2 separate regions of the Mus musculus genome follow, and region 1 is reported to be linked to region 2. Evidence: microRNA targets listed by miRTarBase, many of them from high-throughput screens and not tested one by one. Region 2 holds a microRNA gene; the other region holds the end of a gene's coding sequence.
What was found. Region 2 holds the annotated microRNA mmu-miR-3057-3p (UCCCACAGGCCCAGCUCAUAGC, at 4,062-4,083, shown strand). A microRNA usually pairs through its seed, bases 2 to 8, with sites in the 3' UTR of a target mRNA and lowers its output. Matches are read on the target gene's strand: a 7mer-m8 pairs with bases 2 to 8, a 7mer-A1 pairs with bases 2 to 7 and ends in A, and an 8mer does both.

Region 1: miRTarBase lists Milr1 as a target of mmu-miR-3057-3p. Seed matches in the 3' UTR shown: 7mer-m8 at 4,291-4,297.

What each region holds. Positions count from the first base shown.
Region 1 is chr11:106,763,120-106,770,617 of GRCm38, forward strand. It overlaps Milr1 (mast cell immunoglobulin like receptor 1), which reads left to right. Exons shown (of 7, transcript NM_001033435.3): 5 at 737-829; 6 at 2,103-2,165; 7 at 3,834-4,646. The coding sequence ends at 3,886. It overlaps Polg2 (polymerase (DNA directed), gamma 2, accessory subunit), which reads right to left. Exons shown (of 8, transcript NM_015810.2): 8 at 5,085-5,352. The coding sequence ends at 5,187. Among named protein-coding and RNA genes, the nearest start is that of Polg2, 13 kb to the right of the region's middle.
Region 2 is chr10:81,267,593-81,275,594 of GRCm38, forward strand. Mir3057 (microRNA 3057) reads left to right here and starts at 4,005; the gene lies at 4,005-4,095. It overlaps Apba3 (amyloid beta (A4) precursor protein-binding, family A, member 3), which reads left to right and starts at 580. Exons shown (of 11, transcript NM_018758.2): 1 at 580-727; 2 at 1,187-1,869; 3 at 1,953-1,992; 4 at 3,376-3,521; 5 at 3,604-3,690; 6 at 3,773-3,934; 7 at 4,070-4,240; 8 at 4,593-4,805; 9 at 4,992-5,111; 10 at 5,230-5,367; 11 at 5,457-5,655. The coding sequence starts at 1,303. The coding sequence ends at 5,528. It overlaps Tjp3 (tight junction protein 3), which reads right to left. Exons shown (of 21, transcript NM_013769.3): 16 at 7,582-7,652; 17 at 6,988-7,198; 18 at 6,791-6,891; 19 at 6,211-6,477; 20 at 6,057-6,103; 21 at 5,596-5,797. The coding sequence ends at 5,695.

The DNA.
Region 1 (7,498 bases), not on the chromosome of region 2:
TGGAATAGGGCTGTGGAGATACTGTCTGAATTAGTGAGACTCACAGATATCAGGTCCCTGTGCTCTCTCCATCTCTACATGGATAAGGGTCACGGAGGGCAGCAGCACTCAGCTGATACAAAAGCAATGGTACGGCCCCTGCTTAGCTTACACAAGACCCAGCACAGACTCCAAGACAAACCCATACTCTTAAAGCCCCTTGAAAACAGACACCCTACTTAACCCAGCTTCTCAAACATCTCAACAATGAAATCACCCTGAGTTTTTGCCCAAGTGCCATGAAGATGTTTGGTGGAACATGCTGCTGATCCCAGCATTTGGGAGGCAGAGGCAGGCAGACCTTTGAGAGTTCAAGGCCAGCCTTGTATACTAAGTGAGTTTCGGGACAGTCAGGGCTACACAGAGAAACCCTGTCTCAGAAAAATGAAACCAACCAATCAACCAAAAAAAAAATTTTTGATTCCTGCCAACATAGAAGTTAGTTGTATTGCTCATCTCTTGAAGATAACTCAAGGCTCTCTACTCCATTTCCTCCCAGGGCCTGGTCGGGAGGACCCTGATCCAGATGACTCTGTGCTATATAGAAACCTGTGATCCCCCCCCCCCCCGCCATTAGTTGAAGCCACTGGCATGTCACTTAGAATCATGAGAGATTCTTCCCCTTGGCAGAGAAGAAAGGAAAAACATGTCTAGATAGTTCAACCTAATGATTATGTCTTGCTTTGTGGGGGAGCAGGAAAGAAGACTCAGAGAGAGGACCAGTCCAAGGGTTCTGGAGATGCGCCTGCACAGGACGAGCTGTATGTCAACGCCTGCAAGACTCAGACAGGTAAAGGGCTTTGCTGGCTGTTTTGAGCAGTCTGGTTGTTTGGTCTGGGGGTGACTGTATACACAGGTGTGTATACACGTGTATATATGCCATGGCACTGGTTCTTGACCCCAAGGTGTCCACACATGCTAGATAAGTACTCTACACAGCGCTGCTTATTTAAAATAAAATGAAATAAAAATAAAATAATTCTCCAGAGACACAGGCTATTTTTTAAAAAAGGAAGCAAAATAATAACCATATCAGCTTCCCACCTCTGCCTCCCGTCTCCCAGGGTCTTCGGCCAGTGTTCAGAGCCCCTCCCAGATGGGTGATTTTCCATTCTATCCTTTGATATTTTTTTTTTCAGGTGATATATTTTAGAGATGACTTTCTTTCAGTTTGGGATGACCCACGCTCTATCCCAGTCTCTTGTGATCATTGTTTAAAGAAGTTTATGTTGTTCATTTGTTTTCTTTTCAGAGTCATGCCAAGTAGCCCAGACTAGCTTCGAACTTGTTACCCTCCTGCCTCAGCCTCTTGAGTGCTGGGATCACCGGACTATGATACTACATCCAACAAACTGCTCTTTAAAAATATCAGTCTTGACAACAAATGAAAACTGTATTAGCATCTAGCCTAGGTCAGCTTTGTACTCACTGTGTAGCCCAGGATGATCTCAAACTCCTAACAATCCTCCCAGGTCCTAGGATTACCAATGGGACTTAATTTGTGTGTCATCTTTGCATAGAGGCCATGAAAACCTTCTCTGTGCGTCTTTCTATTTTAGTCTGCATGCTGCAGAATCGAGCACATCTCATTCTTGTTTGCTGGTTTGTCTTTTACAATGCTTGGGATCAAACCCAAGGGCGCCACCCGTGCCAGTCAAGTGCTAGAGAAAACGAGATAAAACTGCTTCCTTAGCGCTTTACAGGGCTGCAGTATTAGCTAGAGTCACCCAACTGTACACTATTTAGTCACTTATCAAAGCAGACATTGTATGTCGGATGCTTCATGGTGGAAAGGCCCAGCTAACAAAGGCCTCCAATTTAATCAGCCCCTCAGAGCCCTTTGTACGTTTTGAGCACTGTGTAAGCCCTGATACACCAGCACCAGCTCCCAGTTTCTGGTGTTCCCTTCTTGCCAAGGAGGAGCCTGGGTCGGGGCTGGGAGTGACAATGTGTTTCCACAACCCCAGTGGGGAAGTGCTTGGTCTAGGCCCCACACCACTGCCCTCCCATGGACAGAGGATCCAAGCTCTGGCCCAGTAACACTTATGCCCTATCTTTTGCAGAGCAACCCCAGGAGATACACTATGCCACTCCAGTCTTCAAGGAGATGGCACCCATGGAAGAAGGTGAGTGGTGATAGGACAAGAGATGCTGTAGCAATGAGTCCCCGAGACATCACTGTGAACAGGGGCTTTGTATCTAAAGAGGGGTTTGCGGACTCCAGGCTCCCAACAAATCAACACTAACCAATCACAACTCCTACTAATGTAATTAATGTAACTTTAATATAATCACAGTGACAGCTGTAGAAGTGCGTGTAGGGAAAGCAGGGTAGGGGCTATCCTCTAAATACTTCCAAGACAGGCTGGAGAAATGGCTTTGCATTTATGAGCGTGTACTGTGCTCCAGAGGACCCGAGTTCACATCCCAGCACTCATATCCAGTGGCTTAGGACCCATTGCTACTTCAGCACCAGAGATATCTGTGCTTCTGGTCTCCACGGGTACTTATGTTCACATGTACATACTGCCACACCCCCATTAGTTAAAATTAAAATAAAATCTCCTTTTTTCTTCTGGGATATCTCTCATTCATTCTCTCTCTCTCTCTCTCTCTCTCTCTATATATATATATATATATTAGACTATCTATCTATCTATCTATATTAGATTTATTTATATGCGTACACTGTAGCTGTCTTCAGACACACCAGAAGAGGGCACAGGATATCATTACAGATGGTTGTGAGCCACCATGTGGTTGCTGGGAATTGAACTCAGGACCTCTGGAAGAGTAGTCAGTGCTCTTAACCTCTGAGCCATCTCTCCAGCCCTCTTCTGGGTTTTTCAAGGCAGGGTTTTCTATGTGTAGCTCTGATAGACCAGGCTGGTCTTCAACTCAGAAAGGTGGTGGTGGAACACACCTTTAATCCCAACACTCTGGGAGTCAGAGGCAAGCAGATCTCTGTAAGTTTGAGGCTAGCCTGGTCTACAGAGTGAGTTCCAGGACAGCCAGAGCTACCCAGAGAAACCCTGTTTTGAAAACACAAACAAACAAACAGATTAAATAGAACCTCAACAACTCAACAATGCCCCCCTCCCCCAAAAGAAGTTCCCAATAGAGGACACAGGGTCACTACTAAAACATTTTCAGGAAGAAATCAGTGCTGGGGAGATGGCTCTGGGGCTAAGAGCACTTACCTACCTCACTTGTGTGAGGATTTGAGTTTGAATCCTGATCTCTTATGCAAAAAGCTGTGCTTGGGCCTGTGAGATGCAGAGATGCAGAGACTTCTGGGGCTCACTGGCATCCAGCCTAGCTTCAGGTTTAGTGAAAGACCCTATCTCAGGAGAATAAGGTAGGAAGTGATAGGACGGGAAATGTAATGGCCTCCTATGGCCTTCATGACCCCCCATATACACCACACACACACACACACACACACACACACACACAGAATAAATTGTTATTAAACTGGAAAAGACCAGTTAATACTTGCTTCTTTCAGGTTGCCCATCTAGAAATGGGGATTTTAAATAAAACTAATCTATTATATTTACTTCTTGTGTATGGGCCAGCATATGCCATGGTATGTGCAGGAAGTCAGGACAAGCTGGAGGAGACAGCTCTCTCCTTCCTCCGTGTGGAGCCCTGGCATAGAACTGATGTCATCAAGCTTGGTGGCCAGTGCTGTTGGCCCCTAAGCCAACACACCCGAGAAGGGCGTTCTTTTTAAGAGTTTCTATGAACTCATGGCTGTAGCTTACTGAGTTATTGTCTCTCTTCAATTTCAGAAGGTGGTACGGATGGAAAAGCTGATTACATCTACTCTGAACTCACCCACTGAAGTGTGAAGAAACTGACTGTATCCCAGTGTAAAGACTTTCCAGTAAGCTGTGTATGAGAAAATAGGAAACTCACCTGGCACTTAAGAGTTCCATTCTAGGCTGAGGCAGGAGGATCCTGAGTTTGAGGCCAGCTGGGACTACATAGCAAGACCTTGTCTTAAAACACAAAATCAAAAAAAGATTTAACCTGGTCACCTATAGTGAGTGTATTTTACACATCTGGACACTATTTCTTTGGCTAATTTGGGCACTAATCTTGTTATCCAAGTAGCCAGGCTTGATAAGAGTTAAAACATACTTAGGTTTTGTGGCCTTCCACCTTCTCCCTTCCCAACACAATTATCTTGGGGCCGAGGAGGTGGTTCAGCAGTTAAGAGCAGACACTAGGGCTGGTGAGATGGCTCTGTGGGTAAGAGCACGGACTGTTCTTCCATCAAGGTCCTGAGTTCAAATCCCAGCAACCACATGGTGGCTCACAACCAACCATAATAAGATCTGATGCCCTCTTCTGGCGCATCTGAAGACAGCTACAGTGTATTTATGTATAATAATAAATAAATCTAAAAAAAAAAAAAAAAAAAAGAGCAGACACTACTCTTCCAAAGGATGGGAGTTTGAGTCCAGAGTCTACATCCCACAACTCAAGCTGCCAATAACATTGTTTCCAAAGGATCCATCGCCCTCTTCTGGCATCTGCAGGCACTACACTCATGTGCACAGACACACCTAAACACATAATTAAATAAATTGGAGTTGGAGAGATTTTCTTTTTCTTTTTTAAGACATGGTTTCTCTGTGTAACCCTGGCTGTCCTGGAACTCACTCTGTAAACCAGACTGGCCTCAAACTCAGAGATCTGCCTGCCGCTGTCACCCGAGTGCTGGGAAGAAAGGTGCATACCACTATGCCTGGCTAGTTTTGTGTTCTTAATAAACCATGTCTTTAGTTAGGGTTTTACTGCTGTGAACAGACACCATGACCAAGGCAACTCTCATAAAGGGCAACATTTAACTGGGTCTGGCTTTCAGGTTCAGAGGTTCAGTCCAGTATCATCAAGGCAAGAGCATGGCAGTGTCCAGGCAGGTATCTTAAAGCCCACACCCACAGTGACACACGTACTCCAAGGCCACACCTCCAAATAGTGAAACTCCGTGGGGCCATATTCAAACCACTACAGACCATATCAAAAGGACAATAAAAAATGAATCAAATATCTACTTTATAAATACAAAAGTCCAAAACTGTATTAATGTAAGCGAATGAACTCAACAGAGAATATTTATTAGAGAATATGAAGACCTACACATTGCTAGCTGACGCTAGGTACTTGACCAGGAAGTCTCTCAGCTTGGATATGTGCATCATTTCCTTCATCGTGGTGTCTCTGCTCCGCAGCTGGATTAGCCCATTTTCCAGCGTAGTCTCAGTGACCAGAACTGAGAAGAGGACACTCATCTCATCGTACCTGAGAGAACGGTTCAATGAAACGCATGAGCGCCTGGGCAGACATCAGCTCCTCATCTCATGGACACCCCTGAGCCTGAGCTGCTCTCAGCTCAGTCAGGTGGTCCTTTACGAAGGGCCGAATCATGCCCTACCCCCACTCCCACTTCTAAAGCATACTCAAAGGGAAGGTTTGAGCTTACTGTGTTGGCACCTAAAGGGGTACTATAGATGGCACCTGAAGGGGTACTATAAATGAATTCCTCAATGACCTCAGTGTTTTGAATTCAACTTTAATGATAGCAAACTATTTGCAGACAAAACTCTCTTAGAATAAACCATATTAAAAAAACATAAGGATTTGGAATACAACAGATCACAACAAATCCATACTCCATTTATGACTTAACATGTTACTTGCTGTTTCTAATTCGTTAATCATTGAATGAAACACTAGCCTTCCCGCTTTCCAAAATCTACTAAAGATGAATTTTTAAACATTTTACTGCCGGGCAGTGGTGGCACGTGCTTTTAATCCCAGCACTTGGGAGGCAGAGGCAGGCGGATTTCTGAGTTCGAGGCCAGCCTGGTCTACAGAGTGAGTTCCAGGACAGCCAGGGCTACACAGAGAAACCCTGAATCAAAAAAACCAAAACCAACCAACCAAAAAACCAAAACCATCTTACTGATTTTCACTTTACGCACATGAGTGTTTTACTTGTATGTATATCTGCATGGGCCTGGTGCCTACGGAGGCCACAAGAGGGAATTGGATGCCCTGAAACTGGAGTTAATGAACAGTTGTGAGCTGCCACATGAGTGCTGGTCACCAAATCTGTGTTCTCTGGTAGAGCAGCCAGTGCTCTTAACTACTGAGCCTTCTTTCTGGCCCCAAACATTCAGTTTTTAAAAACTAGGCATGTGGATTATATGTCTATGATCCCAACACTCAGGAAGGGGAGGCAGGACAATCGAAGTTCAAGGTAATAATACTCAACTACATACTGAGTTCAAGGCCAGCCCAGGGCAAGGCTGAGATGCTATAGAGGACGTACGTTGCATACAGATAAGTACTAGGGAACCAGGAATGGTTAAAACATGAATACTCCTCTCTTCAAAGGAAGGACATGTTTACCTGTCTTCCATCTGAAATGCGAAAAGGGTGCAGGTTACAGTCTGGTGATGTTTTGTAATCTGTAGGGCCAGGCATCACCTGAATACCCCGGAATATTACTTTTGTTTATTCCAGGCTACCCCCAAAATCTTAAGCATTGCTTCTCACTCCATAAAATCCACCTCTGAGATGTCACTTCACAGCTAAGTGACTTCTAAATTCTCTTAGGGCTGGGCCAACCCTGACTCCCTCAGACCTTCTCCTAGAGCCTTATCTAGGGCATTGTTTCTAAGTCAGCAGAACCCATCTCTATGGGAGAAGCATATGGACTTTGTACAGAGTTACACTGTAAATACTTTTTTTTTTTAGAGTTATTTATTATTATATCTAGGTACATTGTAGCTGTCTTCAGACACACCAGAAGAGGGCATCAGATCTCATTGCAGATGGTTGTGAACCACCATGTGGTTGCTGGGATTTGAACTCAGGACCTTTGGAAGGACAGTCGGCGATCTTAACTGCTGAGCCATCTCACCAGCCCCCCCATGTAAATGCTTCTTAAGCCTTGTTTTACACTAGGGACTGAGTTAACTGTCTTCAGGAAACTTTTCCAAAATTGTACAGCGCGTAAATATGACTAAATGAAAGCACCTGGTGTGAGACTCCGGAAGTCTGACCTAGCACTGGCTGAGTTGGGCTGAACCGAGTTCCACTCCCGTCTCTCCCAGGATTATATTGCTGCAGGTTGCAGAGTTTGCAGGGATCCCCACAGATGCAGTCTCAAAAAACAAAAACAAAACAAAACAAAAAACCACAAAAACCCTGTAACTCCAGTTCCTGGGGATCTGGTGCCCTCTTCTGTCCTCTGTGAGCACTGCACACACATGGTGCACAGATATGCATCCAGGCAAAATACTCATGTACTAAATTAAAAAAAAGTAACAACAACAACAACAACAACAACAAAAGGATTCTGGACTGCAAATATGTGTCATGGCACACCCACAGAGAGAAAGAAACCTAGAGAAAAATTTAAATGACACTCCCTCCCAAC
Region 2 (8,002 bases):
TTTGGTGATTGGGGCTTCGTAGCAGAAATGGAGGCTGGATGCACACAGGAAGCTGAGGCAGGAGGATCAGGAGTTTGAAGCCAGCCTAGGCTACATGAGACTCTCAAGAATAAATAGACTAGTACTAGAATCTTCTAGACTCATTGCTAACAAACCTAACCAGGTGAACTCTTTTTAGATCACACAGTTAAGTTTAGGAATTATCATTGTCCCTAATCTATATGTAGGACCGTGATGCAAATTCCAGTGTCAACTCAAGTCTAGATTGTACCGTTATAGATCCTTACTGGGATACAAAGTGGAAGTCCGTCCTCAATAACTTCCATTCCCACTTTTCCTTTGCACTCCAAATTTTCAAGTCATGGCTCTCTTTACCATCCCTGGTTTCTGCCCATGTCCTACCTCAGCCGTTACACTCTGAAGTGATGCAGAACCCGATTTTAGAAAAGAAAAGCCAGTTTGAGCCTCGCCTCCGTTCTTGTAGTCTCGGGATTCGAACCTGAGCTCTACTATCTATACTGCAACACTGGCGAGTCCCCGGAAGGAGAGAGAGCGGACTCGAGGACTACATTTCCCAGCAGGCCGTTTGAGAGTGTGTATGCGCAATAGTCCTGGATGGTGCAGTGACCGATGATCCGGTTCCAAAGCTGGGATCCCAGAGAGCTGCTGACTCTTCTGGAAGGACGGGCGGACCGTCCGGACAATCCTGCCCGGGCCGGAGACACAGGTACTGCGGGCCGTGCGGGACTGGACAGGCTCCCGTGGGTGACCCAAGGGCAGTGTCTGAGTTCTGAGACTGAAATCTGAGTTCTGGGGACGGAGCCTGAGTTTCAAGGGTCAGAGCCTGAGTTCTAGGGGCTAGAGGCTGAGTTCTCAGGACCAGTGCCTGAATTCTGGGGCAACAGCCTGAGTTCCACGACCTAAAGCCTGAGTTTTGGGGCTGGAGCCTGAGTTCTAGGGTCCGGAGCCTGGGTTTTTGAGACCAGAGCCTGAGTTCTAGAGACAGAAGCCTGAGTTCCCGGGGGCAGTGCTTGAGTTCCCAGGGGCAATGCCTGAGTTCCATAGCCGCAGCCTCAGTTCTAGTGTCTGTTGCTTGAGTTCTGAGGTCTGGAGCCTGAGATCTGGGGCAGGCACCTGAGTTCTTTGCTGGCTTCTGTGTAAAATGGGGTCCTTTCCTCCTGGGCAGGCCCCATGGGGATGGAATCTGTCACCTGTAGGACCATGGCTTGCCTACGAGATCCACACTCAGAGCCCTCATCTTCCAGCTTGGTGACAATGCCGGCCTGAACCTGGGTCTCAGACATGGAGTTCCTGCCAGGACCCCAGCATCCCCCAGGGCCCCCAACCATGGACTTGGAGGAGCCCAAAGGCCCCGAGGTGCCCTCTGAGAACCACCCCTCTAACACCCAGTCGGCCTTAGGGCCTGGAGGCCCTGTCACCCTGAGTGAGATGGAGCTGGACACATCCAGTGTGCAGGAGCTGGTTCAGCAGCTAGAAGCTCTACCCAGCGACCTGGGTGGCCCATTCCCAGATGGAGCCCCCTGTCCCCTGCACATTGCTACCGGCCAAGGACTTGCCACCCAGGAGAACCCAGATGCTGGTGGGCTCTTGTCGGCCGAGGCAGGCGGGGACGACCTTCTGGGTCTGCTGAGGGATGAGGCCTCTTCGCCTGCCCAATCTGTCCCCCAAGATCCTGCACAGACTGCACCCCGCCTTCTGCAGCCGCCAGAGGACCCTGATGGGGACCCGGGATGGATGGAAGGGGCATCAGCAGAGCCAGCAGACAGCAGGAGCTCCAGCAGTTCCCCGGAGCCCTGGCTGGAGACAGCACCCCTGGTGACACAGCAGGAACCACCTGTGGGTACCCAGGTAATAGTGCTCGCCTCTCTGACCTCTGACTTCTGACCCTCAGCCATGACTGGGGACTCAGCCCTGCACCTCTTATCTTCCAGAGCCGGGAGACCCTGGCCTCGTGCCCTGCCGTCACCGAGGGTGAGTGTCCATTTTTACACAGAAATCAGAATGTCCTAGAACAGCCCAAAAATGGGCTCTCAAGTAATGACACAAAGTTTGCCAGTGATGATCAAGGTCTAGAGAGGACTGAATGAGAGCAGATCTTAGACGGCCAAAGAGGTGACATAAGCTGTAGAATGTTCTAGAAGCCATGCTGGTTTAGCACACTGGTTGACAGAGGATAGCTCCAGGCTGCTCTGGGGAGTTTTGAGAGCTAAAGATGGCATTTACAGGGCTGGCGAGATGGCTCAGTGGGTAAGAGCACTGACTGCTCTTCCAAAGGTCCTGAGTTCAAATCCCAGCAACCACATGGTGGCTCACAACCACCAGTAATGAGATCTGAATCCCTCTTCTGGTGTGTCTGAAGACAGCTACAGTGTACTTACTTATTATTATATATATAATACATATATATATGCATATATATGTATATATCTTTTTAAAAAAAGCCAAGCAGTGGTGGTACACGCCTTTAATCCCAGCACCTGGGAGGCAGAGGCAGGAGGATTTCTTAGTTTGAGGCCAGCCTGGTCTACAGAGAGAGTTCCAGGACAGCCAGGGCTATACAGAGAAACCCTGTCTCGAAAAAAAACAATAAATAAATAAATAAATATTCATGGGTGGGATTGTTTCAGGGCTATCGAGGACCCAGACTTTGAGACGCTCCAGGCTGACTGAAGAGAATTCTAGATCATCATGGATTTTTATCTTATTTCTTTTTCTTTTGGTTATTTTTGGTTTCTCTGTGTAGCCCTGGCTGTCCTGGAACTCACTCTGTAGACCAGGCTGGCCTTGAACTCAGAGATCCGCCTGCCTCTGCCTCCCAAGTGCTGGGATTAAAGGCGTGTGCCACCACGCCCGGCCTTGATCTTCTGTCTTTTTTTTTTGCATTTATCGAATATGGCAGAGGATCACTTGTGGGAGTTAGTTCTCTGCCCACCTTGTGGTATCCCAGGGATCAAACTCAGGGTATCTTACTTGGCTGAAAATGCCTTTACCCATTGAGCTAAATTGCTGGCCCTGCCCTGCCTGATTCCAGAATGTTAGGGACTCACGACACCACCGTGAGGCCCTGAGCTCTGACTCTTGGTCAGAAGGTTCTGGAAGAGGGGTCTTTGAGCCCTGCAACCTGTTTTGGGTCCATTCCTCCTGAGGGTGCCTCATAGTAGGGGTGACACTTCTTAGGATCCCTGAAAGTGGCAGGTACAGAGCTGGCCACCGCACACTGAGCCTCTGGAGTCTTCTAGTACAGGATCTTGTGCATGCTAAGCCGTGGACAGAACCATGAGTTTCTTGAGCAACAGCTCAGGGATTGGGGACCTCAGAGCCTGTAGAGGTCGCACCCCTCACTGTCATCTGCAGTCCCAGGTCCCTGTGGGCCGGAGGAGCTCATGGATGGTGTCATCTTCGGGGCGAAATACCTGGGCTCCACCCAGCTGCTGTCAGAGCGCAGCCCGGCGCCCAGCACACGCATGGGGCAGGCGCAGGAGGCCATGGACCGCGTCAAGGTGAGCCAGGGTGGAGTTCCTGGGCTGTTGGATTCCATGTCCCAACCACCTCTAACTTCTGTGTCCCCTTCCTACCCTGCAGGCCCCTGAAGGCGAGACCCAGCCCATGGTGGAAGTGGACATCTTTATCTCCACCAAGCGTGTCAAAGTGTTGGCTGCTGACTCCCAGGTACCCAGAGGGCTGGGCCTTGACTGTCGTGGACACTTGGGGTTCCTGAGAGGCCCCCAGCCCACCCAGCGCATGTCCACAGGATGCCCTGATGGACCATGCCCTGCAGACCATCTCCTACATCGCAGACATTGGGCCTGTACTGGTCTTGATGGCCCGGAGGCGGCTGGCCAGGAGGACAACTCCCCAGGACCGCCAGCGGCGACTCTACAAGATGCTGTGCCATGTCTTCCACTCAGAGGATGTGAGCAGCCGTGAGCTACGCCCCCTCCAGAGCATCTAAGAACCCTTGACTTAGAAACCTTGAGGTGTCCTGAAGGTGTGTGCATTGGAGCTGAGATTCTGCGGGATGGATTAGGAGTATATTGTCCTCCCACAGGCCCAGCTCATAGCACAAGCCATCGGCCAGGCCTTCAGCATCGCCTACAGCCAGTTCCTACAGGAGAACAGGATCGACCCCAGCCAGGTGGGCACGCAGCCCTCAACCGCTGCCAGCCACCCGCACAACGGCGACCTGGACCACTTCTGCAACAGCCAGAACTGTAGGGAGGTGAGTGCTTGCTCTGCCACAGCACACACAGAGCCACCCAAGGGACCATGGACCTATCCCCTGGCCTGCTGAGCCCACCCCACCGAGACCTGGCCCCATACTCCCTGGACACGGCCCCGCCCCCTTTGAGACCCCACCCCCTCCCTGAGCACACCCGCATTGGGCCTGATCCCACACTTCCCCTGAATGGGACCCTGCCCCCCTCCCCGAAGTTGAGCCCTCCCTACACCTGGCTTGGCTCTGCCTGCTCTATCTCTAAGTGCAGCTTCTCCCACACTGCCCCTGAATGTGGTCCTGCCCCTCCTGGGACCCCACCCCACACCCTGCCCCCTGAACTTGGTTCTGCTCCCAGGTTTGCATCCAGAAGCGGCCAGGTGAAGGCCTGGGCGTCGCGCTAGTTGAATCAGGCTGGGGCTCGCTACTGCCCACTGCGGTCATTGCCAACCTGCTCCATGGGGGCCCTGCCGAGCGCTGCGGGGCCCTGAGCATAGGGGACCGCGTCACTGCCATCAATGGAACCAGCCTGGTGGGGCTGTCGCTGGCTGCCTGCCAGGCTGCGGTGCGCGTGAGTCAAAGTTCTGTGGGCGGGGTTCCCAGGGGCCTTGTAGGGTGCATAGGAGCCCATTAACAGGGTCTCCTAAGTTAAGTGACTGTATGGTACCACTGATTGCATCCCCATGTTGCCTGGGAGATTGACGGGTGGGTAAACTGATGCCCGCAGAGGCCTGAGCAGCATGGTGGGTCCCCCCAGGAGGTGCGGCGACTTTCATCCGTGACGCTGAGTATTATCCACTGCCCACCGGTCACCACGGCCGTCATCCGCCGGCCCCACGTGCGCGAGCAGCTGGGCTTCTGTGTGGAGGATGGAATCGTGAGGCTGGGAACCCCCCCCCCCTAGGCCGGGTGTGGGGAATGGGCTAGCATACAGCCTAGGGAGTGGAGGCTAGCCTATAGCCTAGGGGCAGGTCCTGAGAGTTGTCCCCCCTCAGATTTGTAGCCTGCTGCGTGGGGGCGCTGCTGAGCGTGGTGGAGTCCGCGTTGGACACCGCATCATTGAGGTCAACGGGCAGAGCGTGGTGGCTATGCCCCATGCGCGCATCATCCAGCTGCTCACAGAGACAAGAGAAGTGCGTGGGAGTCACCTGACCCCGTCACCCCTGATCCTGTCCTACCCAAACCAACCCCGTCTACCTGACTCTTCATCTCTGACCCCTAGATCCACATCAAGACCATGCCAGCTGCCACCTACCGACTGCTCACGGGACAGGAACAACCAGTATACCTATGACTGCCCCACCCATGTGTGCCTTCATCCCTGCCACCGTCACTCCTTCACTGGCAGGGACCAAAGAGTCCTCAGTCTTGTATTATTTTCTAATATAAAAAATTTTTTTTAAAGATTTATTAAGTGGTCAGAAGCTTGAGGGCTTGTGGCACGCTGGTGACTGCATAGGTCACAGGTCGGTGGCTGGGCCCCAGTCATAGCCCTCGTCATCAGAGGATTCCACATCCCGGGCTCTTGTGAACTTCTTCCTCAGGGCCTCGTGCTTGTAGGTCCTGGGGGACAGGAGGCAGGTGCTGGGCCTTGGTGGCTGGGTGTGCTGTGTGACCTCACCCACCCGCACTGACCCCACCCGGCAGGGTGGGCACAGGGATGAGCAAGGCCGGGTATTTAAATGTGGGTTGGGACTTGAAACTCCTTCATATCCTACAAAGCCCAGCCCCATCACCCATTCCTTCAGGAAGCCCTCAACCATGTGGAGTGTGGAGTGGCCCAGCAAAAGCTCTCAGGCCTGCATCCTTCCTGGGCACCTACCGCATGCTGTCCTGGCGCCGCTGGTCCTGGGTGTAGTGGCTGTCAGCCTGGGAAAGGAGAAAGGCAGTGACCCCAACTGACATGCGTGGAGGGCATTGTACTGGGAGTCGGGGGTGTGATTATGTCCTCCTATCCTGCAGGGCCAAGTACCCACCTGTGTCTCCCATTTGTCTGTGATAGTTGTCCCATGACCCATCAGCCCCTGGTGATCATCTACCCATACGGGCTCTGAGGACCGGGCCAGGGCTGTGGGTGCGACCTCCTCATCGACATCCTGGGGTCCGCCCTCTCTGTCCGTATAGGCGCCCTCGCCGTCGGTGTCCTCATAGTCGCTGTTGGTCCGACTGTCACAGCTGAGGTCTCCAGAGCTGGCGGCCAGACCATGGCCCGGCAGGTCAAGGTCCTCGGATGAGCTGTTCAGCTGTGGGGACGGGTATATTGTAATCTCAAGGGAAGCCGAGGTCCATACTCTGAATGCCAGCCTCTAGTCACCCATGGACCTGTGACGAGTGCTTCTGGATTCTAAGTCAAGTCCCAAATCTGAGATCGAGGCCTTCAACTCTGACCAACTCCTAAGCACTCCACAAACTCCCAGCCCCATTATCCACCCCTTTAGGCTTTCTTCCCTAAGGACTCCTTTGGTACTATATTGGCTACTGGGTACTAGGACGCCACAGTGTGGATGCCTATGGGGTTCACCTGGGCTATGGCTATGGCCTCCCTCTACCAAGCACCTGGTCCTCCGCGGTCCAGATCGGTCGCGCCTGCTGTTGCTGTATTACAGCCTTGACTTCCTGGTACCAGGAGTCACTAGTGCCATGCAGGGGGATGGTGGCTGCGGGGGTGAGGGGGTGCAGAAGGAGAGACAGAGCTAAGTCAGCAGGCAGGAACTACCGCCCCCACCAGAGCCCCCATCCCCACCCCTGCGCACCGGTGAAGAGGTGGCCACTGTGTTTCTGCAGTTTCTGGGCCTGCGCATACAGGCGGCGGCTGCTGCGGCGAGAGGCCGGGGCCAGCCACTCCCGGAGGGCCTTGAGGGCCGGCCGGCTCTCTGGGGCACAAAAGATGACGATGGGGTAGTACTGCACGTAGTTGAGGCGCTCGATGGCAGAGGGGGTGACATCCAGGAGTGCGTGCTTATCCTAAGACAGACGGAGTGTCTGTGGTAACAGCGGACCACAGCTTCTCACGGCCAGTTTTGTGTCTGATCCTGGGTCTCATCTATTGGCCAGATCTTTGGGAATCCCAGGAATCCCCCTGCCTCAGCATCGAGGGAGCTGGGATTACAAATGTACTCGGCCACCTCCACAGCTGAGTGGTCTTGTGTCACTTTTTACTTTTTTGTCCCTTTGAGACAGGTCTCTCTGTGTAGCTTAGTTTTAGGCTCACGACAGTCAGCATCCGGAGTGCAGGCTCAGGGGTGTGGACCTGAGTCCCTCAGGAGCCCCCAGCACCCAGCTCCCTGGAGGTAACTCAGGGTGAAGCTGGGACACAGAACATGGCGCTTCCCCATCCCCGTGCTTACCCTCTCTGCGATCACCCGCACTGTGTCCAGTTTGATGATCTTGGATGGGCTGTCAGTCCGGGACATGCTTTCTGAGGAGGCAGGGGGATGCCACTTATGAGGGTATATCCATGGTGCTCAGGCCCTTCTCGAACCTACTGTGACCCTTATACGGGGGTTGGGAGGTGTCCTACGAAGCCTGACTCCCCATACTGCAGCTGTCCCCACTGCACACAATTTCAGCCCCCATCCCAATTCCTGTCCCTGTGGCTATACGGCTATGGGGACTGCAGGGGCCTTCCAGGAGCCAGACCCTGTGGTGTGGCTTTCATTTTTCCTGGCTGAGTAATATTCCACTGAAGGAAGGACTTCAGGTGCTGCAGGGAGCCCATCAAGAGCCCGATTTTCCATTTTTCTGCACATGGACCCCAGCACTTGTATC